4 linked regions of the Diceros bicornis minor genome follow. The protein of the gene in region 4 interacts with the protein of the main gene of each other region in a biochemical or structural test. Links are inferred from orthologs where the notes say so. Each region holds a gene or a part of one and is shown on either strand. Other genes may lie near its edges. The genes, in order: EID1, PRDM2, AHR and RB1.

Region 1 (6,626 bases), on a different chromosome or scaffold from region 4:
TCTCCTTCTCCCCACCAAGCTAGTGTTTGATTATGATCATCCTTGTCATTTCTGTATTTTACAGAAAAGAAACTCTCTCCCTACAAGACAGGATGACCGTTAACATAAATAAGGCTGAGCTGTCTTGTTGTATTGGATGTGGCCTTTACTACCATAACGAAGCAGGCACATCTGATACCTTTTGATTAATCATGATAAGACCCACTGATATACTCAGTTTTATTGGGCACAGCCCTCTGACATGATTCCTCTTCTCACAGAACTTCAGCATCTTAAAAAAATAACTACGGCAACATGCTCATTGATAGGGCAGGCTTTCCCAGGTTGGTAAATTCTCTTACAGGAATTCATTAAGTTTAATTTCCACAAATTAATCTACAGTAGGTATTTGAAGCTCGAGCACTTTCCCTTATAAAGTGGTTAAATTTATATCATAAAGTGGTTGCAATACAATAAAATAGTATAATCCAATATAAAGCATTAGAGAAAGTATGTATGCAATGTTATTAGCCAAACAAAATACACAGAACAAGAAATTTTATTATCTTGAATGCTGGTGCATAACCAATAACAAGCTTATTTAGAGGAGGAGACAGAGGGAAACTTCAAATACTGAGGTGGATTTCCAGTCAGGTTTAAAACTTTTAAAGGTTGACAGCATAATTGTTCAGGTCTTTTTTAGATGTAGGGCTTTTCTTTTACTTGACAATTTTCACTTAACAGTTCTTAATTATGAAGTTCAACCCAAGTCTTTTGCCTGTACAGTTAAATGAAAAACAGAGAGCAAGTAAAACAGAAAATTTCTCTAGTATAGAAGGGTGTTAGAAATAGTTTGTTTTCTTTGTACTTGCACATACATTTTAAAGTCTAAATCTGAAACTTTATTAACATCTTAATTTTTGACTTTTAAAAATGGTTAAGACAATGAATTTTCTTGAATTATAGATCATAGTAGCTTTATAAATGATCGAGATATATGTACAAACAAAATTTCAGATGTTCTTGGAAACACATTTTAAGATATAGCACACGTGATACATATTTCTTTTTGGGATACTGAAGAATACTCAATTTATCTTCCACTAAAAATTTAGCCTTTGATAATTGTGGCTTGGACAGATCACAAAGTGGAATCTTCAAAGTTTTCTCAATAGGCTTTCAGTCCAAATAACTCAAACTCATCTTGTGTCCTACGTTGGATATATCAGTGGGCTCTTGTGCTGGCAGTTTGTCTTGGTCATGACTTATTCTTGCAAAACCATCCCTTACAGTGAAATATGAAAGATATTTTCCCCAATGCAAGGAAAATACTCTGGATCAGCAACAAAGTCAAAGCCATAGGTGTTTTTCAGGACATTCTTGAAAACAGGTTTTAACAGTCCTAAGATTCTTCAACAATTTTCTTCCTTTTTCGCAACTGTACAGTCACTGTCCTATTCTATTCTGCAAAACAAGACTTTTTTTGAAGATCAAGTTTTTCATTGGCATGGAACTATCTGGAATGAACCCAAGAGACAGTGGAATGTTGGGTCTCTCCTCAAGTAGCTTCCTCCTCTTTTAACAGCATTTAACTACTCTCTATCGATAATCTCATCACAGCCGAGTTCTTCGGTCAGACGATTGACAACCATAAGTGAAAAAAGCTCTTCGATAAAAGCCAACTGATCAAACGGGGTCTTCTCATAATGCATCTGAAACCCGCCATCCAGGGCTGCTTCTCTTGCTCTGGATGTTCTCAGAAACATCTTGTTGGCTTCTTCGAGGGCCGCAGATACTCTGTAACCTGCACCGCTCAGCTGCTCCTCTTCCGGATAGTCGTAGTCGTCCTCCCAGTCGTCAAATTCCTCGCCCTCGTCCTCGCTCTCGAAGTCGGGGCCCGCGACCTGGCCCGGCTGCTCCCCGGGGCTGGGCCGGTTAGCAAGGCCGCGCTCCCCCTCCGGCCCCGCCATTGGCTGGGCCGCCTCCTCCTCCATCGGGCCTTCCTCCTCGAGCTGCGGCGGGGCCCCGGGGCGGGCGGGGTTCGGGGACGGCTCCCGGCTCCCGCCGCCTACCTCCATCTGCGGAAGGTCACCCTCGCCAGGCATCACATCCATCTGCAGGTCATTGCTCTCTTCATACAGCTCGGACAGCTCGTTCATTTCCGACATCGTACCAGCAGCTCAACCTCTCGCACAGCGTTTTCAGCAAGATCGGAGCTACGCGGCCGCGCGGCTGTGCGCGTGCGCTAACGCCGTGCGCTTGCGTAACCTCGTGCGTCTGCGCGACCCCCGCTTGGGGGATCCCGCCTCCCGCTTGGCGCCCTGATCTGGCGGGAGCTGGTGGCTGCTCTGCAGGGGGCGTCAGCGTGGCTCGGTGGTCTGGGTATCCCTTGTGTCGAACGTCATGCCTAGAGACTGTAAATACTAGCCCGTTGCTTAGTCTCCGCCTCACTTAACCGTTCTGCTGATGCTGTAAACTTGAAGATACTCTACACAGCCTTTGTAACGACGCTTACCCAGCGTCTTCCTGCTCCTCCCCCCTTCCTCCCCCCGCCCTCCTCCTCTTCCCCCCGCTCCAGGCAATCGCATCTGCTCCAAGGTTTTCACTACCTGTTATCTATCTAGGAGCTAATGACTTACAAATCCACACCTCCAAATCACACAGTGTTCTCAACCACAGATCGACATGTTAAGAACTGATCCATTCACCTCTTCTATTTTCCTCATTAAAAAAAAGTTAAATTCACACATAAGCATATTATCCGTGTACGTTTTAAAGAAAATTATAGTGAAGAGATACGGGGTCCCATTTCTTTTTGCAGGAGGTAACTTTCTGCTGTTACCGATTTGGTGTGTATTCTTCAAATCCTGTTTCTTTGCATTTACATAGATTTTTATGAATTCGTGTAAAAAGCTTATTTTGTGTGTGTGTGTTTTTACGTCTCATAACTGTCTTCAAGTTACAAAACAAAAACCCCTCAGCAATATCTTGAAGATTTAGCTTTGTTGGTATACAAAGATATATATTTTTTCATAGCGTTCCATTTGTATAGCTGTGGCATAGTTGACCTAACTATGCACAAATAGTTTTCAATTTTTTGATACTATAAACTATAGGTAAATGAACATCCACCAATGTTTCTCTAGACTAAATACCCAAAAGTGGAAAGGTGGAATCGTAGGGTATGCATACTTTAGTTTTAATAAATACTGTCAAATTGCTCTCCAAAGTTGCTGTACAAATTTAAGCTCTAGTCAGCGGTGTCTGAGAAGATCCATACCCTTGCCACACATGCTTTTGTTGAACTTTAACAAATTTATCAACTTAATGGTATCTTGTTTTGTTTTCCATAGCCTCGATTTCTTGGAGATTGATTATCTTTCAATATGTTTATCAAACATTTGTATTACTTATTCTGAAAATTATTGGTCTTATTTGAGTTTCTTCTTATTGATTTGTAGGAATCCTCATAAACTCTTTATATGAATACTTTTTACATGTTGCAAATATATTCTGCCTGCCTGTTGTTTGTCCTGTTTCAAAGGGTCTTTTCTTATACAAAAGTTTTAAAATGAGTTTTGATGTAATAAAATTTAAGGTTTTTTTTTCTGTATGTCTTTTTCTTTCTGTTAAGATGGATTTTTCCTGCCTCAGAGATCACAAGCATAATCTTTTATTTTCTAATGTTTTTGTAGATCTTTGTTTCTGTCTTTGTAGATCTATATTCTATCTTTGTCTTCTAATATATTTTTAGATCTTTATGAATCAAACATTTATTTATATAAGTAGTATGAGGACAGAATTTGTTTGGCCAACCCGTGGCGTAGAAGTTAAATGCGTGTGCTCTGCTGGTTTCGGATTCCGGGCGCACACCCACAAACCCCTTGTCAGGCCATGCTGTGGCGGTGTCCCACATAAAGTGGAGGAAGATCGGGTGGGATGTTAGCTCAGGGCCAGTCTTCCTCAGCAAAATAAAAGAGGAGGATTGGCATGGATGTTAGCTCAGGGCTGATCTTCCTCACACACACACACACAAAAGACAGAATTTGTTTATATATTTTTTCCATATATATAGCTAATTCAGCCAACTCCACTAATTTAATCATTTGTCTTTTTGTCTGCTGTTTGGTGCCACACTTATCATAGACTAAAAGTCCATGAATATGTGAGTCTGTTTTTATTATTTATTTATTTTTTATAATTTTATTTATTTTTTTCCCCCAAAGCCCCAGTATATAGTTGTATGTCATAGCTACACATCCTTCTAGTTGCTGTATGTGGGACACGGCCTCAGCATGGGTGGAGAAGCGGTGCGTCGGTGCGCACCCGGGATCCAAACCCGGGTCGCCAGCAGCGGAGCGCATGCACTTAACCGCTAAGCCACGGGGCCAGCCCTGAGTCTGTTTTCAGACTTTGTATTCTAATGAATTTCTGTAGTTTTAGAATATGCTTGATGATAAGGAAAATCTCGTCTCTTTGTTCTTTAAAAAATTGTCTTAGCTCTTCTTAGACATTTATTTTTCCATGTGAATTTTATTTTATTTTTTAATTTTATTTATATATTTTTTCCCCCAAAGCCCCAGTAGATAGTTGTATGTCATAGTTGCACATCCTTCTAGTTGCTATATGTGGGACGCGGCCTCAGCATGGCCAGAGAAGCAGTGCATCTGCGCGCGCCTGGGATCCGAACCCCGGCTGCCAGCAGCGGAGCGCGCGCACTTAACCGCTAAGCCACGGGGCCGGCCCTCATATGAATTTTAGAAACAACTTGAATATGTCTTTATATGTCATGCTATCTGATAAGGAAAAATCTTGTCCCTTTTTTCTTTAAAAAATGGCTTTATCTCTTTTTGCACATTTATTCTCCCATGTGAATTTTAGAAGCAGCATGAAAAGTTCCCTGAGTGACATTGGTGGAATTTTTGTTGGAATTGCACAGAATTTATAGATTAACTTGGGGGAGAATTGACATCTTTACAATATTGTCTTCTCATCCATGAAGGTGATACATATCTTTTTACTTGTTCAAGTCTTAATTATATCCTTGAGTGAAGTTTTCCAAAAAGCCTTACACAATTTTTATTAGTTTTACATGTAGGTGCTCTTATAAAATGTATCTTCCCCACCCACCCCCTGAATACAGTCTCTGTTGGCTTTTGCTGATATGTGCAAATGACATTGATCTTTGTATATTGATTTTGCTTTTAGTAATTATTTTGAACTGAAATATGAATTTAGAAAACATAAATATAGAAAAGTGCACAAATCATAAGTGTACAGCTTGATTATCGCAAAATTAACGTATTTGTTTAACCACTACGCAGATCAAGAAACACCATTTGCAGGATCCCGGAAAACCACCTGTGGTCTCTTCCTTTGCCCCAGAAGTCACCACTATTCTGACTTCAAACAGAATAAAATAATTTAAACCATGCAGTATAATTCTTCGTGTCTGGCTTCTTTTGCCCAAGATATATGTTGTTGTGTGTGGTAGTCCATGAGTTGAATATCACAATGGTCATCATTGGGATTGTTTCCAGTTGGGGCTATTATGAACAAGGCAGCGATTATCTTTCTTTAGAATATCTTTTGGTGCACATATTTACAGGATTCTGTTGGACATACATCTAAGAGTAGAATTGCTTGGTCCTCTTATATAAGCAGCTGTAGTAGATTCTGAAGACAGGATTAGCTAATAGGTGCACAGTTGGGGTTTTAATGAAACTTCAAAACAGTATGACAAATACATCTCTGCAAACGGGCCGTTACACTGGGGCTTCCAAATAGAATCTCAGGTAAAAAAGACAATCTTCTTGGCTAGCTAATGCAGTTCTCTTGGATAGTCTTACTTCGTACTGAAAGTCTTACTGTTAGTGCCTTAGTCAGGATACTTTTTTTTTTTTAAACATTTTTTTTCTTTCTTTCTTTTTTTTTGTGAGGAAGATCAGCTCTGAGCTAATATCCATGCCAATCCTCCTCTTTTTGCTGAGGAAGACTGGCCCTGGGCTAACATCTGTGGCTATCTTCCTCCACTTTATAAGGGACTCAGCCACAGCATGACCTGACAAGTGGTGCATCGGTGCATGCCCGGGTTCTGAACCCAGGTCGCCAGCAGCGGAGCGCACGCACTTAACCGCTACGCCATGAGGCCAGCCCAGTCAGGAGACTTTTGGTGGTGAATCACTGAAACCCAATTCAAACTAACTTATATAAACATAAATAAAATTTAAAAATACATAAAAAGATAAAGGAAGGGGGTAAATGTATTGGTTGAAGTGATGAAACAAATGTTACCACTAGACTTTTTCCCGTTTTTAACTCTCAGTTCTGATTTTCTCCAGAGAGAAAACTTCCTTTTCCTGCAGGCTTTTCCCTCATGGCAGCACAAGATGGCTCCCAGAAGCTTTGGGTGTACACAGTCCTTAATGGCGGAGAGAGATGCATTCTCTCTTATTATCCACCTCAGTTCCAACCCAAAGACATTGATTGGCTTTGCTGTATCCAGAGGGATGGTGTTTTCTGATTGGCAAGGCCTGGATCGTGTATCCACCTGCAAGGAGAATGGCAGTGAAAGCGACATGTCAAACCCACCTGAACCTCCTGGTCTAAATGAGATTATTATAGAATGTGGTGGAGTGGCTTCCAAA
Region 2 (6,958 bases), on a different chromosome or scaffold from region 4:
GAACTGGGGCGATTTTGCCCCCCAAGGGACATCTGCCAATGTCTGGAGACTTTATCATTTGTCCTGACTCGGGGGAGGTGCTACTGGCATCCCAGGGGCAGAGGCCCAGCATGCTGCTACAATGTCCTACAATGTACGGGACAGCCTCCACAACAAAGAATTACCCAGCCCCAAACGTCAATACTGCTGAGGTTAAGAAACCTTGCTTTAATGGAACCCAGGCATTGCCTTCATTAATGGAATCCACAGCTTTCAGTCACTCTACAAAGATGATTTTTATGGCTCTAATACTTCTAACTTCAAAAGGAGAGCGCCAGAACACTACCCCATACGTCTAACCAAACGCTCTGAAGGGTGACAGCATAGCTGATGGACACCGCACAGCACTGGACACACGTCAGCAGTATCAGCAGTAATGACTGTCAGGTAATGTCCCCACCAGCTGGAAACTCCCTGTAGCTACACATCGCCACCCAAGTCTGACAATTTCCCCCTACTGTCCACCTACTCCCTTTTCACTCCCCACTACGGAGTTTTCTAGCGACAGCCCACAGGTTTTTTTTTTTTTCTGCATGAGTATTAAAAATAGCATGAAAAGCAAATCAGAAGAGATGAAAATAGTAAATAACCTAAGGTACTTTCCATTCCAGAAAATCTATGATTTAACAGGACTTAAAAGGTTTGTAAATCAGATCTTGAACTTGAAAAGATAGCAGCTTAAAGAAACAGTCCCATGAATAAATATCTAACATAAAATAATCATCAAAAGAATATGTGTGCAGATATATGTATGTAACTGCACAGACCCGACTGAGGGAGAAGAGAATAAAAGGGAGCTGAAATTGAATGCTGCTTCTTATAACTGTATTGGCAGGAAAAATGCATATTTAGAGACAAAAACAGAATTTACATTTTCACACATCTTAAACGATTATAGAACTTTAAAATTCACGGTAGAAAAACCTTTTAAGTAAGTCTTAATAAAAAGGAAATCTCAGGCTATAGAAGCCTTACTGAACAATATGGAATTGATAAATTATGGCCTGTCCATATATCACATAAGCATTAAAAATCATAATGAAGAATATTTAACATAGATATAGGCTCACAACATTGCAAAGGAAGGCAGATTACAAAAAATATATACAGTATGATACCAATTCTGCATAAAATGTAAATATATAGAAGAGAATAAATACATATAAGTAAAGAAATACACACACGCACACCGAGAGAGATGAAAAGGTCTGCCAAAATGTTAACAGTGGTTATCTGAGGAGTGGGAAAGTTATGGCTGATTTCTATTCCTTCTTTGTGCTTTTCCCTATTTTCAAATTGTTCTACAGTGAGAATCTTGCTATGTTTTGCACAGTGCTTACAAAATGAATACATTATTACAAATTTAGGACGTACTGTTTCTGGAACTGTCCACAAAATGAGAAAAAAACAAATCTGAATATGCCAACTTTTCAATCCAAGACATCACCTTCAGAAACAACAAAAGCCACCTTTATTGAGCATTACTATTATGTGCCTGGCAGCTTATTCTAAGCCCTTCAAATGTACTAACTTATTTAAATCAAACCAAAAAGGATGCACAGAAAAAGCCCTGGCAGCCCAGGAGCTGTGAACAAGTGTTGGTCCCACTACGGATTTCAATCTCGGTTTCCATACCTTGAAACGAGGGGGCTTAAATAAAACGATCTTTCAAGGTCCCCTCGCGGCTACGCTGAGATTCCACACGCAAAAGAACGTGGTCAAATAAGTGTTCGTAAGGAAGCTTCTAGAGAATGGGGGGGCAGCTGCATGGCATCTCAAAAACAAAACCCCACTAAAAAAGAACATACGATTATGTGTTTCAGTTCCTCCTTAATATTTGTATAGCAAATTTCATAACGTTAAAAAATTTAAAAAGGCCGACATTTTTCCAGTACTTGGATGCAACTGATCAAACCAACATGAAGTCTGGCGTTGCGGCTAAGAGAATCACTGAGAGGTTCCGTTTGTTGTTCAACGTTGTGGGTGCTTTCGACAATAAACCTGCAGTTAACAAACACTTGAAGAAATATTTTAGTCGCCTTCTGGGTACGACCCTTTGAGTGTCTGTTTAAAGGGATCTGAGGACCTAGCGGGATTCACTGAAAGGCGTTCCACTTCTGAAATAAAACCAAAACCTCAACACGACCGTGAACGGAAGAAAACGGGGGGCCAGCATGTCTCCTCCCGGGGGAAATCACAGCTGCGTCGTGAGGGGGATCTGGGCTGCCTGGTTCAACGTGGGGTTGTTCCCGCAGCTCGCGGCCCGACAGACGGCGGCCGGTCGTGGCTCCCGGTCCCCGCGTGGGTCGGCGGTTTGGGAACAACGCTGACCCGTTAGGTCTACTTCACGTCTCACTTGCCACCGTCAGAAATAGGTCCGTGGACACGGTCAGTGACAAAATCAATATTATATGAGCGCACGTCTGTTAAAACAAAGACACCGGTGGGTCTGCGATGGGAATAGTGGGGGGGCAATGTCCAGGTTTAAGCCACACAGAAACTATTTAGGCGACACAAAGACGCAAGACACGAAACAAATGAAGACCGCAGGTGTGCAAGACGTTCGGCTGGAACACAAAAGAGGAAAGCAAACGGCTGGAAATCGCGACGGCCCCGGCGCCGCGCGCGCCCGGCTGTGGGGGACGCCGCGCCCCGGGGGGCCCCGCCCCGCCCGCCCGCAGCCCACACGCGTCCCCCGCGCGGGGCGCGCGGCAGCCCAACGGCGACAAAGCCGGCCCCGCAACTTCGCCGCGCGGGGGGCTCGGGCGCCGGAGGGAGGGCCCCCGGGCCGCGCCTCGTTCCGGGGCCCCCGCCGGCCGGGACGCCGGGACCTCGCAGGGGGCGCGTCCGCCGGCCCGCCCGGGTCCCCGGCGTGCGGCCGCCGCTCGCTCCTGGCGGGCAGGGACGGGCGTCCCGGCGCCCAGCCCGCCGCCGTCCCGGAAGCCGCCCGCCCCGGCCGCCTCTTACCTGCGCCCGCCGCGCCCCGCGCCTCAGAGCGCCCAGAGCCTCCGCCCGCGCCGCCGCCGCCGCTCCGCCCGCCCCGGCGCCCGCGGCCGCGCCGCCGCCATCTTGGCTCCGGTCGGAAGTGACGTCGGGCGGCGCCGGCCGCGGCCTCCCGAGCCCGCGCCGCCCGCGCCGTCGCCCAGCGCCGCCCGCGCCCCCGAGACCGCCGGCCCCGCGGGCTCCGACGCCCGGCCGCACACGCCCCCACGACCCCGGGCCGCCCTGGACCGACCCCGGTTCTCGCAGGCCCGACGACCGCGGGCCGCACTGGCCCCGACGCCTGGCCGCCGGAATGACTCGCGCTGTCGGACGGGCCTCGCAGGGACCCCGCGGACCCCACGCGCGGCGCCGCTGAAAGAAAAGCACAGCGGCCAGCGCGCCTCCCGCATCCAGTCTGCCCGCACCAGGGGGCTGCGATTCTGCGCTTTTGCGAGTTTCTACAAGAATCCACAGCCTTTAATAAAAGGCGGAGGAGGAAGGAAAGGGGTTCACCACTAAGTCCCTGCAAATGAATAAACATAGACCCCATTCTTCGCTCTTCTCGAAAAGACCCGTCTTGCCTCACCCAAAAAGATGAAACTCCAAGCAGATGCAGCTGGGTTCATTTGCTCCTTCGTGACACATGAGTAGTTACGGCCTGCCTGCCTGGTGCCCAGCACAGTCTTAGGCGCTGCAGCCACGGCACAGAACGTGACATGGGCCCTGTCCTGATGGAACTTATTATTTAAGAAAGAAGAAACACATAGACGGCCGGGGAGACGACGACAAGTAAATGCTCTCATGGAGAGGACCTGGGTTGAACTGGAGATGTCTAGTAGCCGTCCAAGGAGAGATGGATGGCCAGTTGGAAAGGAGTCTGGAGCTGAGGAAGAGATGCGTGCTGGAGACAAGATAGACAGGTGAGAGTTGCCGCATATGGATGGTATTTAAAGCCATGACCTCTTCAAGATAAAGCCCTGAGAATGGAATCAGGAAGAATCTAAATGGAATGGTGACATTAGGCCTCTGTGGAAAGGACCCACCCTAAAGAATAGACACCAAGTTAGATGCAGATGTGCTTTGGGAATTTTTGAAGGAGCACACAAGCCCATTTATGTAACTATGGTTTAATATTAAGAAAACATGATGTATCAATATATATCATGTTATAATCTTATTGTAAAGGGATGGTGCTGTAGTTAATGACCTAGTCAGATATTGTGAACAAATGAAGATAACCTCATCAGAGTAAATTTTATCCAGGCCTTAAAAAGTGACAGGGTCAGCACAGAGCCTAAGAAAAAAAGAAATCAAACCTCAAGAGTTGGATTATTTCTTCCACTATTCAAGGGAAAGAGATCTGGGAGATACTTGCATGCATGTCACTAAAATAGTGTACGGTGCTGTGGGTCAGAGCAGACATCAGACTTTTCCATCCCTTACCTAGATCGATGCTTCCCAATGTGATCCATGCATCAAAGTCATCTGGAGTATCTCCAAAAAAAGTCGGGGAAGCTCCATCATTTCATCCTCAGTCAAAACACTGACATACTAAACAAAAATTTAAAAGAAAAGCTATATGCCCTGTGGCATTCAATAGAATGTGAAGGAATGTTAAATTAGAAGTGATACAGTGAACCGGAACGTACACTAGATAGCATCATACCAAGAGATGGCTGACAGTAATCAGTGGTTGTTCTCCCTGTCATTAGTCTAAAATGACTTGGTGTATTAGTTTCCTGTGGCTCTTGTAACAAATTACTGCAAAGTGAGTGGTTTAAAACACCAGAAATGTATTCTGTCACAGTTCTGGAGGCCAGAGCCCGAAGTCAGTATCACTGGGCCAAAATCAAGGCATCAGCAGGGCCACACTCCTTCTCAAGGCTCTAGGGGAGAATCGTTCCTTGCCTTTTTCAGCTTCTTGTGGCTGCCAGCATTCCTAGGCTTGTGGCCACATCAGTCTTCAAGGTCAGCATCTTTAAATCTCTCTCTGTTCCATCTTCACATCACCTTCTCTCTGTGTGGTCAAATTTCCCTCTGCCTTCCTCTTATAAGGATACATGTAATTGCATTTAGGACCCACCCACATAATCCAGGATAATCTCCCCAACTCTAGACCCTTCACTTAATCACATCTGCCAAGACCTCTTTCCATATGGAGATTAGGACATGGACGTATCTTTGGGGACCGTTATTTAGGCTGCCACACTGGGTATATCCTCAGCACTGCTAAATTACCCCCTTAATCAGCCATCGTGTATTTTTCATCTTCGTATTTTTCTTGGACATGTTTATGTTTTTCAACCTGTGCCACTTCTCAGGATAAATGTATATGTTTTATCAATTTAATCCAAAAAAGATACAAATCATTGAGAATACAATGTAATTTCATGAGTATTTATTATCTGTCTGATATGCCAACTATTACTCTGTTGCCTCTTTGAAAAGGTGATGTATTTTGCTAAAGGGTGAGGGAAGGAATTTGAGACATTTCATCACATCTCATGGGCCATTTCTATATTAGGGGATGGAGGTATAAAATGCACTCTTTGTCTAGAGCTACAGCATGGATGAAACTCCGCTCTACACAGGTACATCTAGTACAGGTCCTGGCTGGTTTCGTACCTTGACATGCAATTCCATTACAGAGGACAATAATCGTCATTCACCACAGCATCCCAGTACCCAGAATGGTGTCTGGCACATAGCAAACACTAGATAGATATTTTTAGTGGGAAAAAAGTCTTCTCCCTGGCTCTTCTGATGTGGCTGGATTAGAGCAAATATGTGTGGGCCAAAGACACTGTGCATTTAAAAGACAACATATGATTATGTTAGGAACCACAGGACTGCTGCGCAGCATGGCAGCCAGGAGACCTACAGCATTGCTCCTAAAAAGATGAAAGATTTTACCGCCAAGATTAAAGAATTCACAACCCATCACCAATGGGAATGTAAGTGGGCTTAGAATTCCCCGAATGATAACAGTACTTATTCTCCGCTGGCTTCTAGTCTAGGTGTTTCACAAGGACCATCTGGTTCATCCTCATAGCAACCCCGCGTGATAAACACTATCCTCATTTTGTAGCTGCGGAGACTGAGGCCAGGAAAGGTTAAAGAACTTGCCTAGTTGGTGACAGAACCAGGTTTTGAACCTAGACAATGTAGCTTCCTAGTAAGCTACAGGCTTAACAAGTAAACTATGCTACATACACAGGCACCCACACACATACATGGAAAAGCCTGAGAGCTGGTACAGGCAACTCTCCCATTACATGCTCTCAACTACTAAGTCATTCCTCGACTGAGATACTTGGGGTAGGAATTGGGAAGTATTTTTTTTTTTATATCTGTGTAAAGAGACTACTCTAAATACTCTCCTTGGACTGTCAGACAAGAGCATCCATGGTCAGGGGAAAGGGGATCGAGTGTCTAAGGGCAACTGCATCAAATGAACTCGTATTTTGCTCAAATAACACATCACTTACTTTTTTTAAATCCTGAGTCCCCTTTCCTCGTGACTGCAAATCGTTTTCAATGAGATCCAGAGTCTCTTTTCCTGGTTTCTTCACCTCACTTTTCCCCCTCCCTATCCCTCCGCCACATGGTTTACCCAAGCAAGAAATGACATGTGAGCAAGCATACCAGCAACCAAAAGATTTGGAACTTGGATTTGGGGTTCTGATTAGAGATGAAGAAATGAAGTTCAAAGATAGAAATTCTGGGGGCTAAAGATACATCTTATTGCATAATGGACACTTTTGGCTGTGTAATTTCAGTGCAAAAACTTCTGCAGCCTCCAAATGTACAGAGGAATCATAGCAGTGGTGAGATTTAACGGTGAGAAGGGGAAAGGAGGTAACCTTTATTGAGCGCCAGTTTACACCGACACTTTTATGTTACCTTCTCATGTAATCCTTACAACAGCAACAACAGC
Region 3 (8,002 bases), on a different chromosome or scaffold from region 4:
AGCGGTTTGCATGGTGTCCAATTGATGTCACTGTGTTGGCCTTGAAAATTTAAATATCCCGTGATGGTGCCCCTTTGAGTTTTTTTGTGGTGCCCTTGAGGTGCCTCAGCACACAGTTTGTGAAGCACAGGCTATGCTCTCTAAAATATTTGGTATAACTATAATGAGGGATCTAAGTCGTAGAAGCAGAGTTTGAGTGAAATAGATCATTCTGAAGGCCTGGGGTAAAGAACTGCAGGATTGAAGAGGAGGTAAAAATTGTGATAAATGTTCTATCTGCATGGTATGCACTTCCTTCCCTACTTTACCTACAAAATGCCTACCCATGCCTCAGAATTCAGCTCAAGCTTCTTCACTTCTTTAGCACAACCTCCCCTAAGTCAAACTCACCTATTACACATTCTCAGACTACTCGTTTCATAGCACTTACCACAGCTGCAATTATACATTTATTTGTATAACCACTTGATTAATTCTTGTATCTCTCATTAAAATGTAAGTTCTAAGAGGCTAGGGATATGTCTGATATCACCATAGTGTCTCACAGTGCCTGGCATATTATAGGAGCTAAAATCTTGAATGAAATGAATGAAGGCATGTACTGTGACACAATAGGGTTAGCATTTATTTTAGTTATTTTCCTTTATTCTAAGACAGCTGCTATGTATAATAACATTCCTAAAACTTATTTCTTTTTCTCATAATATTTAGCAGGAAAAAGAAACCCATAGAAATATAGCTGCATCTGAAACCTCAGAAAGTCATCTCACCTAAACTAAATAAAAGGATAATGGTGCTTTGGATTAGGCAGTCAAATATTAATAAACTCTTATATGCAAACCAATTGTTATAAGAAAAAATCACGTTATTATATAAAAATGGCTCATGGAAAATTTAAAAATTTTAGCAATGGCAACAAAACATACTTTGAGAACCATGTCCTACAGTGGTGATATTAGAAGTAGAAGTGATAGTTTCTAAAAGTGGCAACTCATTCTTTTTTTTTTTTTAATTGCATTATACTACAAAGACTGATTTTATTGACATACTAAGCAAAAATTTTAAGGGCAGTGGATGGTGTCACTATTAAAATGAAATGAATTCTGAAAGTCTTGTTGATACTCTTATTTCAATCTTGGTATACAAAGATCAGTTACTAAACTGATTGTAATACAGTATAGCATGATATGATTTCTGGATAATGAAAATGGTCCTAAAGTCAAAAAGAAAATAAAGGTATGGAAGTAGGACAAAATAAGACAGAGAATGATTGTACCAAAGAACTAACAACCTTAAAAAGGTGGACATTTTTAAAAAACACTAAATTAAGATTGATTATTGGGATTTAGTACATTTAGTATATCCTTTTTCTGAAAAGGAGCTTTAAACTACAGAATCAATAAATTATGTTTTGATATGCATTTTTCACCCTTAAAGTTCCTATGCTAGAAGGAAATTACTTGTTTACACTATACATTTTAGATAGAACAGCTATGAATAATAATACAGAGATGAGGAAATAAAAGAGAAGATAAGATAGAGTTGGTTGACTCTGTGCCCCCAGAACTGCTAATCCATCCACAGCAAACTCTCCTGTATGCACTGTCTTCTTTGCTCCATCTTTTGCCTTAAACTGAAAGCTGGCTCTCCCTGAGGGTGTCATCTCCAAAATGGTTCCTAATTATTTTTCCTCATCACCTAGTTCTCTGTTGCCACTTCCTGCATCACTTTCACTTTATAGTCTTGTAAAATTAAAATAAAACAAAACCCATCAACCACAAAACACACCTGCTCCTTTGTAGGTCATGCTAGAATACTCTCTTCATCACATCTCCTTCATCTTTCTGATTCAAAATTACCAGCCCACTACATCTTACCCACCATCCTCTTTTCCTCTAGCTTCTGTAGAGTAGTGCTCCTCAAACTTCACGTACATTTGAATCAACTGGGAGATCTTGTTAAATTCAGATTCTGACTCAGTAAGGACACCCAGAGGTTCTGCATTTCCTATAACTCTCATGAGAAGCTAAGGACACTGTGAACAGTAAAGCACTACATAAACTCTGTCTGGTATTATCTAATCTGCTATAATCCTAATTCCCCTTTTCTTTTTTGGCCCTCGTTCTCTCTTGCCTTTACCATTTTTAATATCTATTGTTCCCTTACTATTCTTTGTCTTTCTTACACAGCCAATCTCAATCCGTCTCCTCTCTTTCTCAACTGCTTAAGTATCATCCATTAAAAACAACAAACCCTAATTTAACACTTTACTCCCCCTAGCTACCATTCTAGGTCTCTCCCTTTCACAGCCAAACTTTAAAAAAAAAAGAATTGTCTGCGCTTGCTGATGTCATTTCTTCATCTCCAATTCAATTCTGCATCCACTTCAATCTGACTTGCAATCCACTAGCCCACTAATATAGTGTTCACTAAAGTCACCAATGACCTCGTGTTGAGAAGCCAAAAGACATTTTCAATTCTCATCATATTTGAAACTCTCAACAACACTCAATAATGTGAACCACTCCCAACATTTTTCCACTTTGTCCTCTACGACACAATAGTGCCCTCACTTTCCTGTTACCATTCGAGCAACTCTTTTTCATTCAGTTTTACAGGACCATCATCTTCTATTCAGCTATTGGATACTACATATTGAAATTCTCTGGGTCCCAGTCTTTCTCTGGTATATATTTGCACCCTACAACCTCCACTCTCTCATGTCACCTAAATGCAAATGATTTCTGAATTTATATCTCCAGTTCATACATCTTCTTTGAGTTACAAACATGTATATCCTATGGCCTACCTGACATCTTCTCTTAGCTATCTCAAAGGTACTTCAACCCTAAGAGATCCAAAGCTAAATTAATAATTTCCCACCAGTACGTGCCATTATCACATAGCCAGATACATAGTTGAGAACACTATTATGATGTTTTTGACACATCCTCTTCCCTCACTGTCATATATCCACTCTATCTCCCAAGACTTTCCCAATATCTATGGAATCTATTAATTTTCTCCATCTCCACCATCACATCCATCCTAGTGTCAATAATGTCATCTCTTGGCTGGATTACTGCAGATGGTTTCCTGAGGAGTATTACTTCCATCCATTCCGCTCTGTTCCTGCCTCTTTGATCTGTTCTATACCCTGCAGATATGGTGATATTTTTGAAACGCAAATTTGATCATTTGTGCCCTTCTCCTCTGCTCATACTGAACTTGTTTTAGTCCCTCATACCTACCAGGCTCCTTCCCACTAAAGGGACGTTGCTTGTACTGTTTCATTGAGTTGGAATGGTCTTCCCCTGCTTTCTCCCAGCTAACCCTACTTTATCCTTCAGACCTCAGCTCAATCAACATTTTGGGGGGAAAGCCCATATTTGCCTCAATGAGTAGGTCAATTTATCCACTAGAAGATCATACTGAGTTGTGTACTTCTCCATTACAGTATTTCCTGAGAGCATAGGACATTTCTGTTTGTGTTCACCATTGTCTCCCCAGTACTAGCATAATTCCTGGCACATAGGAGTCACCCCCAAATCTTTTTTGATTGAATTAATGTGTGGAGGGGATAATATTAGCTTAGGAATCCTACATGGTATGGCATTTGAGCTAGGCACTGTCTGCTATTATTGAAGAATAAAGTTGAGGGAAATGAATTAGGGATATTGTAAAGAACAAAATTTAATAGTATTTGCCGGAATATTTACATATAAGTGGTAGGCGAGTTGAACATGATTCATAGGTTGATCTGGAGAACGGCGGAGCCAATGACAAAGTTTCAGCTAAAGCATATGACGAGCTTAATGTATTGATGCACTGAAGTTGAGGTAACAAATTTACCAGGTGGAAACAGCTTGAAGACATTTTAAAACGTAGGAATGGATATGGTGTGAGATGTCATCTAGGTATCTTAATCTGGATGCCCTTCTGCTCCTGACAAGCAGACTCCTCTGTGTTTACTATCCTGGTTAACAGCACAGAAAGAGTCAGAAATCCTAGAGCCGTTTGAGACTGCTCTTTCTCTTCCCCTATTTTCTTATCCTTTTCTATCATCATCTGAATTTTCTTTCTTCTCTCCATCCCCACTGCCACTTCCCCGGACTTACACCCGGACTATTTCAACCGTAATGAAATAGTACAACGACCTAAGTACGGTCTCTGCATCCATCTCCCGTATTCCAGTTTGCACTTTCCTCCCAGAGGGACTTTTCCAAGACACCAGAATGTCACTTTTCTGCTATCTTTAAAAGGCTTCCAATGCCTACAGAATAAAATCCAGACTCTTTATCAAGGCTTTATGGTTTGAGCCTAGAATTTCGGAACTTCGCCTCCAGCTCCTCTGTCCAACCATAGCAGACTGCTTATTATCCCCAAATGCCTTGTGCTTCCCTTCTTCCTCGTTTCCTTCCTTTCAACTTTATTGAAATCTGACTACAGAATAACAAAGTTATTCTGGCTAAGGAAAAGATGTTATATTGTTTAGGATGGAGACACACACACACACACAAAAAGCCAAGGAAACTCCTAGCCTTCATGTTTTAACTCAGATGTGGCCTCCTGAAGCCTTTCCCTCTAGGAAAATTTAGAGTTCCACTGGTTATCCACCAGCTCACTGCAATCCTTCGCCAAAGGTTAGCTGAGTCACTGTCTCTCATATAGGTGAAGTTAAGCTCACTATTTGGCATGTCTATCCTTGAGATAGTCTAGCTACAAAGAGTTCGGCTACAATACGCAATTTGTTGTCACACCTCTTTCTGGGCTGCAAATCTGGCCACAGAATTCCACCCCTCGACCTCAAGAAGATGGCTACTGGGGGGCGTCGTTACGCCTTACGTCATCACGTACAGGGAAGGTGGGGCCCTCAAGGAAGATGGAATGGAAGGGCGGGGCCAAGTAGGACGGGGCGGGGCCACGAGGGGCTGGGCGGGGCCGGAGACGGGTTGGGGGCGCTTCTGCTATTCAGCCGGTGCGCGCGGCGGCGGGAGGCAGCCCCTGGCGGGTGCACTCGACGTTCCGTCCCGGGAGCGTGCCCAGGACCAGCGGCTCAGACCTAGGGCAGCTGCGTAGCAGAGCGGAAGCTGGTGGCACCGGAGTGGCGGTCGGAGTCCGAGCTCCGCGGGCGGGAAGCACCCAGGATCTGGGAAGCCCCAGGAGCAGCGCGGCGGCGCCTCCCTTACCCGAGGGGCCGCGGCGACGGTCACGGGGCGCGGCGCCACCGCGCGCGACCCAGGCCGGGATTCCAAACAGGCAGCCCAGCCTCCTCCTCCGCCCGGGCCGCCTCACCTGCGGCCAGCGCCGCGCCGCCTCCGCCGGTGTAGAGGACACCTGCGCCACCTCGCGCGCCGGTCTCCGCCCCCGCCCCCCGGCGCCAGGCCCGGGCGGCGCACCTGGACGCGCGGGGCTGCGGGTGCCGAGGAGCGAGGACGCGGCGTCCTCGCTGCCGTCCGGGGAGGACGCAGGTGGAGCAGCGGGAGCGGCTTCGTGGAACCCCGCGCCCGCTGCCGCCGTCGTCCAGGTCGCCGCTGGCTCCCGGGGAGTGGGCCGTCCGAGCCGGGGAGGAGCCGCCGCCGGCACCATGAACAGCAGCAGCGCCAACATCACCTACGCCAGTCGCAAGCGGCGGAAGCCAGTGCAGAAAACGTGAGTGTCCGGAGCGCGTCCTCGGCGCGGGGGTGTGCGCTGTGGCACGCGGGTGCGGGAGGTGGCCGCACCCCGCCCCCAAATCCCCGCGGTCCCGGGATTAGGTCCATTCCTGACACAGTCCGTGGAATCGAGATTTGGAGGCCGGTCGAAAGACTCAGGCCTTGGATTTTCCTTTTTTAATTATTGCATTTTAAAAATTGTGCCCCGTGTCCCCAGCGCACCCTCTCGCACCTCCACCCCTTTGCAGCTCTGTTCTCTCTTCCGTGGTCCTAATTTGTTGACAGCTCTGGTCTGCTGTGTGGGGCTGGTGGATTAGTTAACCTAAATCCGCCTTGAAATCCCTTTCCACTTTTAATATCCTCATCGGTTAGGTTAGAGGACGGTCATAATTCTCATTCCTGGTAGGGCGAGATGTTTTAAAGATCTAAACACGTGCTGTCTGCAAGAAAGTGGCTGAGTGCCTCTGAGGGTATTTTTTGGTCCGGTGCACCTGGCTTCTGTTGGGCTCTTATTTGACAGTAATTTTGTAGCGCTCAACGTGACCATATCGGTAAAATGTATAGAGGTGGTAGCAGGTATGAGTGAGTGTAGTGGACAGGATACAGTGAGGGATTTGTGTTTTCAGCCACCTTTTGGAGGAGCTTTCTTATCACTTTGGGGATGGTTTTAGGGTCGTAAAGAAAAAGATTTGGAACTGGAATTACTGAAACAGACGTTTTCATTCTTAACATCTTTCTCTAATTTCCTTTTCCCCCACTGCAAAGTTTTGTCGATTCTAATAGAATGGTTACAAACTTAGATTTTCTGTTTGTTTTGGTGGGCTATTTATGTGAGATGACAAATACTTTAAAATAATTTTTTTTCAGAAAAAAAAATCTATGCTTGAGACAGATTTACTTTTAATTGGCTTTATTCATGTGTTTATTCCTAATTATCTCTGAGACACTTTATTTCACATTTTTCAAATTTTCATAAACAATTTTAAGAACACCTTAAAGCTTTACTCAGAGCAAATCAGAAGTGTGCATTTTGGTTAAAACTTAACTTAGGTCACTAATCCAAACCGGAAAAATAAGAGTTTAAGATTTATATTTAAAACCAGTAACTTGGTTTAAAAGTTTCATTATTCTGGAGTTTTAATTTCCATTTAGAATTTCAATGATCATAGTTCTTCAGATCTAGACTTGGCATTAACAGAGGATATTCGTCTATAAATAGACTGATTAAAATTTGGAAGTCTTATCCTGCAGTGTGGCTAACATTAGGAATACTGCCGAGTCAGCAATTTTCTGTCTTGCCTGTTCTGTGACATTGGTTTACCATACTTGTATTTCGTAGAGTGGTTTCTTACATAAAAATGTATTTGTCTAATTCTGTGACACTGGTTTACAATACTTGCATTTTGTAGAGTGGTTTCTTATATAAAAATGTGTTTGTCTAATCTGACTTTAACCTTGATGGTTATTAAAATTGAGAGGCGTTCCAAATGCATGTCCTGTGTAATTACTAATACAGTAGCATAAATATAAAGAGGTATCATGGGTTTTTATGTGTATGGTCATAAAACTTGAATATCTCTTTGATGGATTTTTAAGTTACTGAGTTTTAGTCAGTGTGTTACAAAAGGACCTAGATGACTTTTTTAAGAAAAATCAAATACTTTAATTTTGTATTCATTATAAAGTTTAACATTTTTGGCTCCTAGTTAACATTTCATTAAAGATCTTCCCTTTAAACATATTACATTTTCTTTTATTTATATAAGATGTACCTTTTATTATTTTATCTTAACATTTTAATATACTTTCTAAGACTTTAATAGTTTGTATTTAATAATCTCTTGTACTACAACTAAAGCATTTTCCATGTTTACTCTCATTTTATTTTATTCAGTTAGTATAGATGTTTATCAGATCTTTACTGAGCGCCATGCATTGCTTCTAATCATGTAAATGCCTTAAAATATCACTGCCCTGCTCCATAAGGAACGCCTATTGCTGCTATTTGCAGAATCACTTGAAATTGTTTATCAGTTGTTTTTACCTGGATGAAAAATGGTTAACTTTATAATGCAGTTAATCAAAGTTTATTTTAGGAATGTGACCATTAAACTCAATATTAAGTTTAATATGAATTTTTTAAATTACTACCTTGGAGCTAATGGGGTCTAAAATATGCCAACGTTGTCAGAAAAATACATCTTGTTTGAGCTGAAAATGCTATTCAGATGTGGTTAACTTTGACCTCTTAAGTGATAGCCATTTTATTTTACTTAAAGAGAAGATATATTGTAGTATAATTATAGAACTGTTAATAAAATGGCCATTTAAATATATAATTCCATAAA
Region 4 (7,273 bases):
TGTGAATTGGTGGCATGGAGAGAAGGCCAGTATGGCAGGAGAACAGTATAAAGAGAGGAAGACACAACATTCATGGCGAGGGGAAGGAGGGAGCCTGTTGTTGGAGGGATGACAGGATACATGAGTGCAGCAGCAGGGACTCTTTTTTTCATGCTCTTCACTTTTTTCCCTCTAAACTAATCATTACTTCTGAATAATTCAGGTAAACTGAGCAACTCTTTATTTCTTGAAACCTGAAAGAATCTAAGAACACACACATATGGGAGGAGATTTAACTCATGGGAATGAAAAAGAGCAAGAAGAGAGGAGAGGTGAAGATCTTCTAGGCCAGTGCTATCTCACACTATCTGTGAAGGAACTTTCTTTTCTTTTTAATTTCCAATATTTCATGAATTGATATGTTTGAAAATATTTTGAAAATAACATTTTAAAAATTACTAGGAAAATGAAAGCAAAGGGACGCAAAATACAAGCTCACATTTTTTAGTATTTTAAATAGTCATAAAATTACATTTCAAAAAATTAGAATTAAAAAAAATAGGATAAAAGAAAAAAACTACAAAAACTACACTTCGTTCACTGAAAGTGTACATGTAGGTGATTAATAGAAAATTGCTAATACACCCCTAATTTTTTGTCATTCCACAGTCATAACAACTAAATAAAAAGTTGGTAGTGAAGTAGCAATTTCCTATATTAAATGCTATAATAAACAATATTTAATATTTTAAGTTTTTCATTATTTAAAGTTTTTAACATTGACAAATGAGTGTGGTTCTTGTTAAATTATCTAATCTAGGTTGGATTGGTGACAATGTCACTAGCAGGATATAATGTATATCCAAACTGTTTCTATGTTTTATTTTAATAACATTCATATCGAGAAATCAGTCTCCAAAGGTATGTGTAAGGGGATGGAAGAAGAGATTTTAAAGCAATTTCAACAAGCTCAGGATATTCATTTTTAAATTCTACCCAAAATGAAGCAAGAGATGTTTTATTTTCAAAATTCATCTTCAATTCTTCATCAGTAGCCAGTTCCAAAAATTAGTCCTATAAAGTTAGAGTTACATTTAAATTATCTTTCAAAGATATGGATTCTGGATCCATGAATTCCCTATGTGTGGAGTTTATTTTCAATTCAAAATGTTTTATCAAATTCATAATTAGTTTATGTTTTATATGTAAATGCCACTGAAGTTTGATGGCTTTATTGCTTCATTAGTCAGTACCTGGTTTTAGCACTTCACTGTGAGTTATGGCTATGAACTCAGTAGATGGGGGATTATACTCGAGTAAAATCAGTACAAACTCTTAGATCTTGAATTCTTTGGAATCACTTCTCTGATGATTTGTTTACTACTTTATTATTACTAACACACTGCTGACGTGTCTTTTCTTGACAAAACAGGACAGTGAGGTTTGTTTTGCCATCTATAATTTAAGGTTAAGAACAAATGACAAATTTTTCTTCCCTAATTTAGCTACAAATTCCAAAAAACAGGCTTGATTAAAAATTAAAATGACTGTAAAAATAGCAAGTTATAAAAGTAAATAAATATTTACATTTTCAGATTTTTATTCACTTTTGGGTTACAGTTGACAAACTAACCTTAGAATTTCACTCCTTATAATGTGGTCCTACTGCACATGACAAAGACACAGCCATGCCACCTGCAACTCACCACACAAGTTGGAGAACACTTGAACTGTTCTATATTTTGTTAATGAGAGGTGTCCTATAATCATGTGCTTGGATATTGATGAAATGTCAAATTGCTATAAATGCTGCTAAGCACTTTTAATTTCTATAGTTATCTCCTCATGGACTACACACAAGCAGTTTGGAGGCTGGTACTGGTCCAAGGACCACATCTTGAGTAGTGCTGTCCTAGGGAACCTGCATTGAAGAGACTGGGAGAAGAAGAAGAACTAGTGGAGGAGTTTATGAAGTAACAGAAGGGAGGAGGAAAACAAGACCATAGATTTGTGGAAGACTAGGGCAGTTTTAAGAAAGAGGAAGGGGTTATTAACTGTGTTAACTGCAAGAAAGGTCAAGTAGATTGAGGACCAAAAAGAAGCTACTGAACTGACAATTAGGACATTGGTGACCTTTGAAAGAGTGATTTCAGTGGAGTGTTTGTGGTAGTAGTAGAAGAGAGCCAGGCATTAGTAGGCTGAGGGTTTGAGGAAGTAGATGGAACAAATAGGGCTACCCTTTCAAGAAGCTAGATGGTAAAGAAATGGAAACTGTGTGGTAGTTTAGGAGTGCAAAACAAGACTTTTTAGGCTAGGGGAGACTCAAAAAAAAATTTTGATATCACTGAAGGAGACTCAAGCTGAAGAGAGTTCTATCTCCAGATAGAAAATCTAAGAAAGATTTTTCTTTTTTGGTCTCACAGCCATCTTCTTAAATCTACTATGGAGGTGGGGGAGGATCAGGGGAAATTTCTATTAAGAATCTGCAGAATTTCTAATACTTTGGTATTACAACAGAAAGCTGTGAGGGGATGTAAGGATTTTGATTGACTCTATTGCTCCTGTAAGGATTTTAAATGTAGCAGGGGACACAGTTAAATTAATCCTTGGTAAAGATACACATCCTTTTGTAAATTGAGAAATGTCTTCGATTTATCTTAATTGTGGTAAATCCAAATGTTGATAAACTGAGTTTAAATAAAGCAGGTCATATCTACATATGAAGAGAGTTTACTTAGGTTCTCAGAACTGTCCTCCACTCTCCTGGCCTCCCCACCTTTAGCGAACAAGCATTTACCGTGTGCCCAACCCTTTGCTAGCTACTAAGGCCAAAACCATGCCTAAGATTTGGTCTCAGTCTTGAAAGGGCTCATAGGAGAAATACTATCAGTCGTGATGCTTTCTAGTGCAAACAACTGAAAACTTGCTCAGCTGAGGTCAGCTCTAGGGTTGGTGAAGTTAGAGGTTCAGTTATGTTATCGAGGACCCAGAATTTTTTGATATTCCTACTGTACCATCTTTAGCATTTCTGCCTTATCTTCAGGTCAGCTTGCCTTAAGTCACAATGGCTGCGGCAATTGCAAGCGTCACATCCTCATGATAATAGCTAAGTGGTAGAAAAACTGTGTCATCCTCGTATCTCATTTTAGCAGGCCTTCAGCAGACTATTTTTGATCTTGCAAAGACCAAAATTGCATCCTGAGCTCCTGCCTACACTAATCCCAGGCAAAGCGAATAGGAACTTGGATGGTATTTGCTCTCTCTAGCTGGGGCTGGGCATGGACCCTACCTTCTGACAAACTTCTGGCCCTCAAAAGAGGGTTTCTGAAGTTAGGCAGCACTAGCTGTGGAGTAGGCCAACGACTGCTAACCCTTTTTACATCCTGCTATATGTCATGGTATACATAGAGAATGATAATCAATTGTATGGTGTTTTCTTTAACGACATAGTGTAATGGATAAGAACCTCGGTTCAAATCCTCTGCCACCCATCAGCTCTGTAATATTGGGCAAATTAATTACCTCCTCTGAGCCTGTTTCCCCATCTGGAAAGTGGAATACTACTACTACTCATTTTAAAGGGTTGTTGCTGGGATTAAGGGAGATAATCATGTAAAACAGCCAGCACAATCCCTGGTACATAGTAAGCCCTCCTGAAATGTTAAGTCTGCCAGGCAAACTTCCATTCAACTGTCGCTGCTCTTTTGAGGTCTCAGACAATTCGACGGTGCCTCCTGTTTTTGCATCACTGTTAAAATATTTATCACACTATAATCTGTTCTTTACCCACAGCCCCTACTCCTCCCTTCCCTAACTAGTGATCTCTAAAAGGTCAGTAATTGTCCTACACTTTGTAGCTCCTAGTGATTGGCAAAGTTCAGCTCCTTTTACGCGTTCCACAAATGTTTGTTTTTGTTTTGGCCGACTGCTTAACGGATTGGGCGGGAGAGTGTGGTGGGGAGGGCGGGCGCCGCCCACGGGGGAGAGGGGCGTGCCCGCCGAGGGTGTAGCCGCCTGATATTCCCGGCAGGGCCTGAGCGGGAGCCGCTGCTCAACCCACAAACAGAGGGGGCCAGGCTCACCCACCAGACTGTGTAACGCTCCGTGACCGGCACCCAGGCCCGGAAGGGAGACTTTCGGGTAGAGACAGGTTCAGGCGGCGGCGGCGGCCTCGAGGAAGGCGGCTCGGCCCAGGCCGGGGCTCTGCGCCCAGCCCTCCCGAACCCGCACCCCCGCCCCGCGCACCGCCCGGCGCCCCGGTTCCCTCCCGACGCCGGCGGGCCCGGGAGCCTCGCGGACGTGACGCCGCGGGCGGAAGTGACGTTTTCCCGCGGTTGGACGCGGCGCTCGGTTGCCGGGCGGGGGAGGGCTCGTCCGGTTTTTCTCAGGGGACGTTCAAATTTTTGTAACGGGAGTCGGAGAGGACGGGGCGTGCCCGACGTGCGCGCGGCCTCCCTCCCGGGCCCACCTCCACCGCTCGCCGGCTCCTGCCCGGGCAGGGCGTCATGCCGCCCAAAACCCCCCGGAGAGCAGCCGCCGCCGCGGCCGCCGCCGAACCCCCGGCGCCGCCGCCGCCCCCGCCCCCCCCGGAGGAGGACCCCGAGCAGGACAGCGGCTCCGAGGACCTGCCTCTGGCCAGGTGAGCGAGCATCGCCGCGGCGGCCGCCGGCGCGCGAGATGGGCGCTCCGAGGGTGCGTCGAGGCGGGCGCCGCGGCGTCTCGGCGGGGGCGCGTCTTCTCCGGGTCCGGGTACCGGCGGGAGGAGGGTGCCCGCTTGTCCCCCGCCGCTGTGGAGCGCCTGGAGGAGGATGACAGGCGTCTGGGTGCGGGAGCGAGGGGAGGGCAGCCGGGAGGGGTCTCGGCTCCAGCTTGACAGGTGTCGGGCGGGTGGGGCTCGGGTCTCTGAGCGAAGTGACAGGTGCCGCCTTTCCTCAGCGAGTCGGGAGGCTCGCAGGCGGCGGGTAGTTTCGAGGCCCCATCAAACGCAAAGAGAAAAACAAAAACGAACTGGTGTCTGGCGGACAGTTTTTCTCCGGTCGAGATTTGTAGTTCGCCGGTGGTCGTTGGACTTTCTGTTTTGGTTTCCTGCGATGCGGCAGTGGGAAGTGTTTTTCTCCGGGCGCGCACTGCATCTGAAGCCCGGTCCTGGGAGAGGCCAACCAGGAAAGCCTGCGACGCTGCTGCAGAGACGCCTTGGGATGTGAAGTGTAGGGTGCTGGGTGTCACTTGCCCCCAGGGTACTCGACTGAGGTGCTATGTAGGATTTCCTTATAACAGTGCTTTGAGGCCTTGGGCTTCAGAGCCATCGATAGTGCCTGGTGGAACATAATTCTTTAGAGGAGCTCGTGTATGGGCAAAAGTTTTTTGAAACGTTAGTGTAAGTGCTTAAAAGTTTCTAAACGTTTTCTTTTTTCCCTGTTATATAAAATTCTTGCATGTTAATCTGCTGCAGCATGTCTCATTATTTCTTCCATTTTGCCTTTAGGCTTTGAGCCAGCAAGGATCCTGGTGTCCCCTCTTTTGTTCGTTTGTTTGGGTACAAAATTAGTGGTGTTCGTGTGCTCACATGGAACTATTTTTTTCCTAAGTGGAATCTAAATTTAAGCAAGTCCGTGATAATGCAGTAGAACATGACAGGGAGCCATTTATTGTATTGCAACATCTTATTTTTCTTGATTGTGATTCTTTATGGTTAAGAAGCTAAGATTGAGAGAGTGTAATTGTCATTATTGTTGTCAGCACTGGTCCTACTTTGAGACTACGCGTCCATTGCAGGGAATGAGCCTCCTTTCTGTCCCTCACCACTCCCTCCTCCCTTCTAGTCCATCACCAAGTCCTATTTCTTTCAACTCCCCAGACACTAACAGAGGTCAGGGGAATTGTAAAAGGTTGGAATGGGCTTTTGGAATTGGCCTGTGAAAGGCTATTAAAAATTCATATATTTAAATGAACTGTCTTACTGGTCAATTAAAAATCATGCTCACTAGTAAAAAAAAAAGTCTGAGGATGTTCTGGGAGAAGACATTACTTTAGTTTCTCATTAAACTGATGTATCCAATACTTGCAAGTTTCCCTTTGGAAAGAGCACTAATGTCTACTTTAAAGAATTCCATGTTATCCACATAGCTTTGGAAACATTCTCCATTATTGTAGGGTAACTAGAAGTTCTTGAAGTTCTGGCCGAGATCTGGGACTAGAAGAACTTTGTTTCTTTTATTTTTTCCCAACATATTATTTTGTATGCCTTTAAATGATGGAACTGTCAAAAATTCTCCTGTAAGTTAAATCCATACAAGATACAGTCTGCTGTTGATTATCCAGACCCACAAAAGGTTTCATTAGCATGGGCAATCGAACTCTGTAGATTAACTACTTAACAAGGGTAGAACCCTGGTCTGGTAATCTGAAACTGAGATTAGGGATGGATTCAGGGCCCAATTTAACTGCACTTCCAGTAACAGTTCATTTCTACCTTGAGAGTTGAGATCGTACTTCTGTTGCATTATCTCTGGCCTAAGTGATGTAGTTGGAAGGGAAACCATCACTAGAAACAGCACCCCACCTTCATTGTTGAGATAATCAAAAGTTAATTATATTTTGAGGGAGAGTTGGCAGTCTGGAATAGTTGTCAAGGGCGTGGATTATGGAGTTAGACTGTTGGGTTTATATCAAGGTTTTCCACCTACTAGCCATGACCTCAGGTGAGTGCTTAAACTTCTATGATTTGGTACTTATCTATAAAACAGGTTAATAAGAGTACTTACCTAGTAGGACTGATGTGAAGGTTCAGTGAAACCATGCTTCTAAGGTGCTTGGTAACGGGGTCATAGTAAGTACTCAAAAATTATTAGCTTTTTCTCTTATTATGATTATTCTTAGAAGTCAACTAGGTATTAAATGAATGAAAAGGAATTAGCCTACAAGTATTTATTAATTGCCTATCTTAGTTAAGGAAGATCGAGGAGAAAAGGCTGAAATAAGTGTAGCAATAATTTATGTCAAGTTGATCATCATGTGAGAAGTGCTAGTAGGTAGAGAGTTTATATGAAACATTGATAAGTGTAGACTGCATTTTAGCAAAGTCACTGATACTGAATTGATTCTGTAATATTATGTATGGGCTCTCCTATTTTTGCTGTTATTATTGTCCCAATTTTCCCAAACAGCTTTAGCTACTGTACTTATTTCCTTTGCCAAGCTGTTTTGCTGCTCTGAAGTATATGTGATTCACCAGACCAGCAAACATCTTTCACTCTGTGGTATCCTTATTTTGGAAAGACTATGAAAAAGAAAA

The links.
Region 1: the proteins of RB1 (region 4) and EID1 form a complex in vitro, tested with the Homo sapiens proteins (5 studies listed by BioGRID). The link is inferred for Diceros bicornis minor from reciprocal best matches to the Homo sapiens genes RB1 and EID1.
Region 2: the proteins of RB1 (region 4) and PRDM2 form a complex in vitro, tested with the Homo sapiens proteins (2 studies listed by BioGRID, with this or other methods). The link is inferred for Diceros bicornis minor from reciprocal best matches to the Homo sapiens genes RB1 and PRDM2.
Region 3: the proteins of RB1 (region 4) and AHR form a complex in vitro, tested with the Homo sapiens proteins (2 studies listed by BioGRID). The link is inferred for Diceros bicornis minor from reciprocal best matches to the Homo sapiens genes RB1 and AHR.

What each region holds. Positions count from the first base shown.
Region 1 is NC_080744.1:45,426,625-45,433,250, reverse strand, and holds EID1 (EP300-interacting inhibitor of differentiation 1), read right to left. Parts: upstream 2,389-6,626; 5' UTR 2,148-2,388; coding exon 1,572-2,147; 3' UTR 521-1,571; downstream 1-520. UniProt on the Homo sapiens protein: Interacts with RB1 and EP300 and acts as a repressor of MYOD1 transactivation. Inhibits EP300 and CBP histone acetyltransferase activity.
Region 2 is NC_080752.1:31,950,142-31,957,099, reverse strand, and holds the start of PRDM2 (PR domain zinc finger protein 2), read right to left. Parts: upstream 3,023-6,958; 5' UTR 3,007-3,022; intron 1-3,006. UniProt on the Homo sapiens protein: S-adenosyl-L-methionine-dependent histone methyltransferase that specifically methylates 'Lys-9' of histone H3. May function as a DNA-binding transcription factor.
Region 3 is NC_080742.1:43,514,344-43,522,345, forward strand, and holds the start of AHR (aryl hydrocarbon receptor), read left to right. Parts: upstream 1-4,994; 5' UTR 4,995-5,587; coding exon 5,588-5,652; intron 5,653-8,002. UniProt on the Homo sapiens protein: Ligand-activated transcription factor that enables cells to adapt to changing conditions by sensing compounds from the environment, diet, microbiome and cellular metabolism, and which plays important roles in development, immunity and cancer.
Region 4 is NC_080748.1:28,794,684-28,801,956, reverse strand, and holds the start of RB1 (retinoblastoma-associated protein), read left to right. Parts: upstream 1-4,249; 5' UTR 4,250-4,484; coding exon 4,485-4,618; intron 4,619-7,273. UniProt on the Homo sapiens protein: Tumor suppressor that is a key regulator of the G1/S transition of the cell cycle. The hypophosphorylated form binds transcription regulators of the E2F family, preventing transcription of E2F-responsive genes.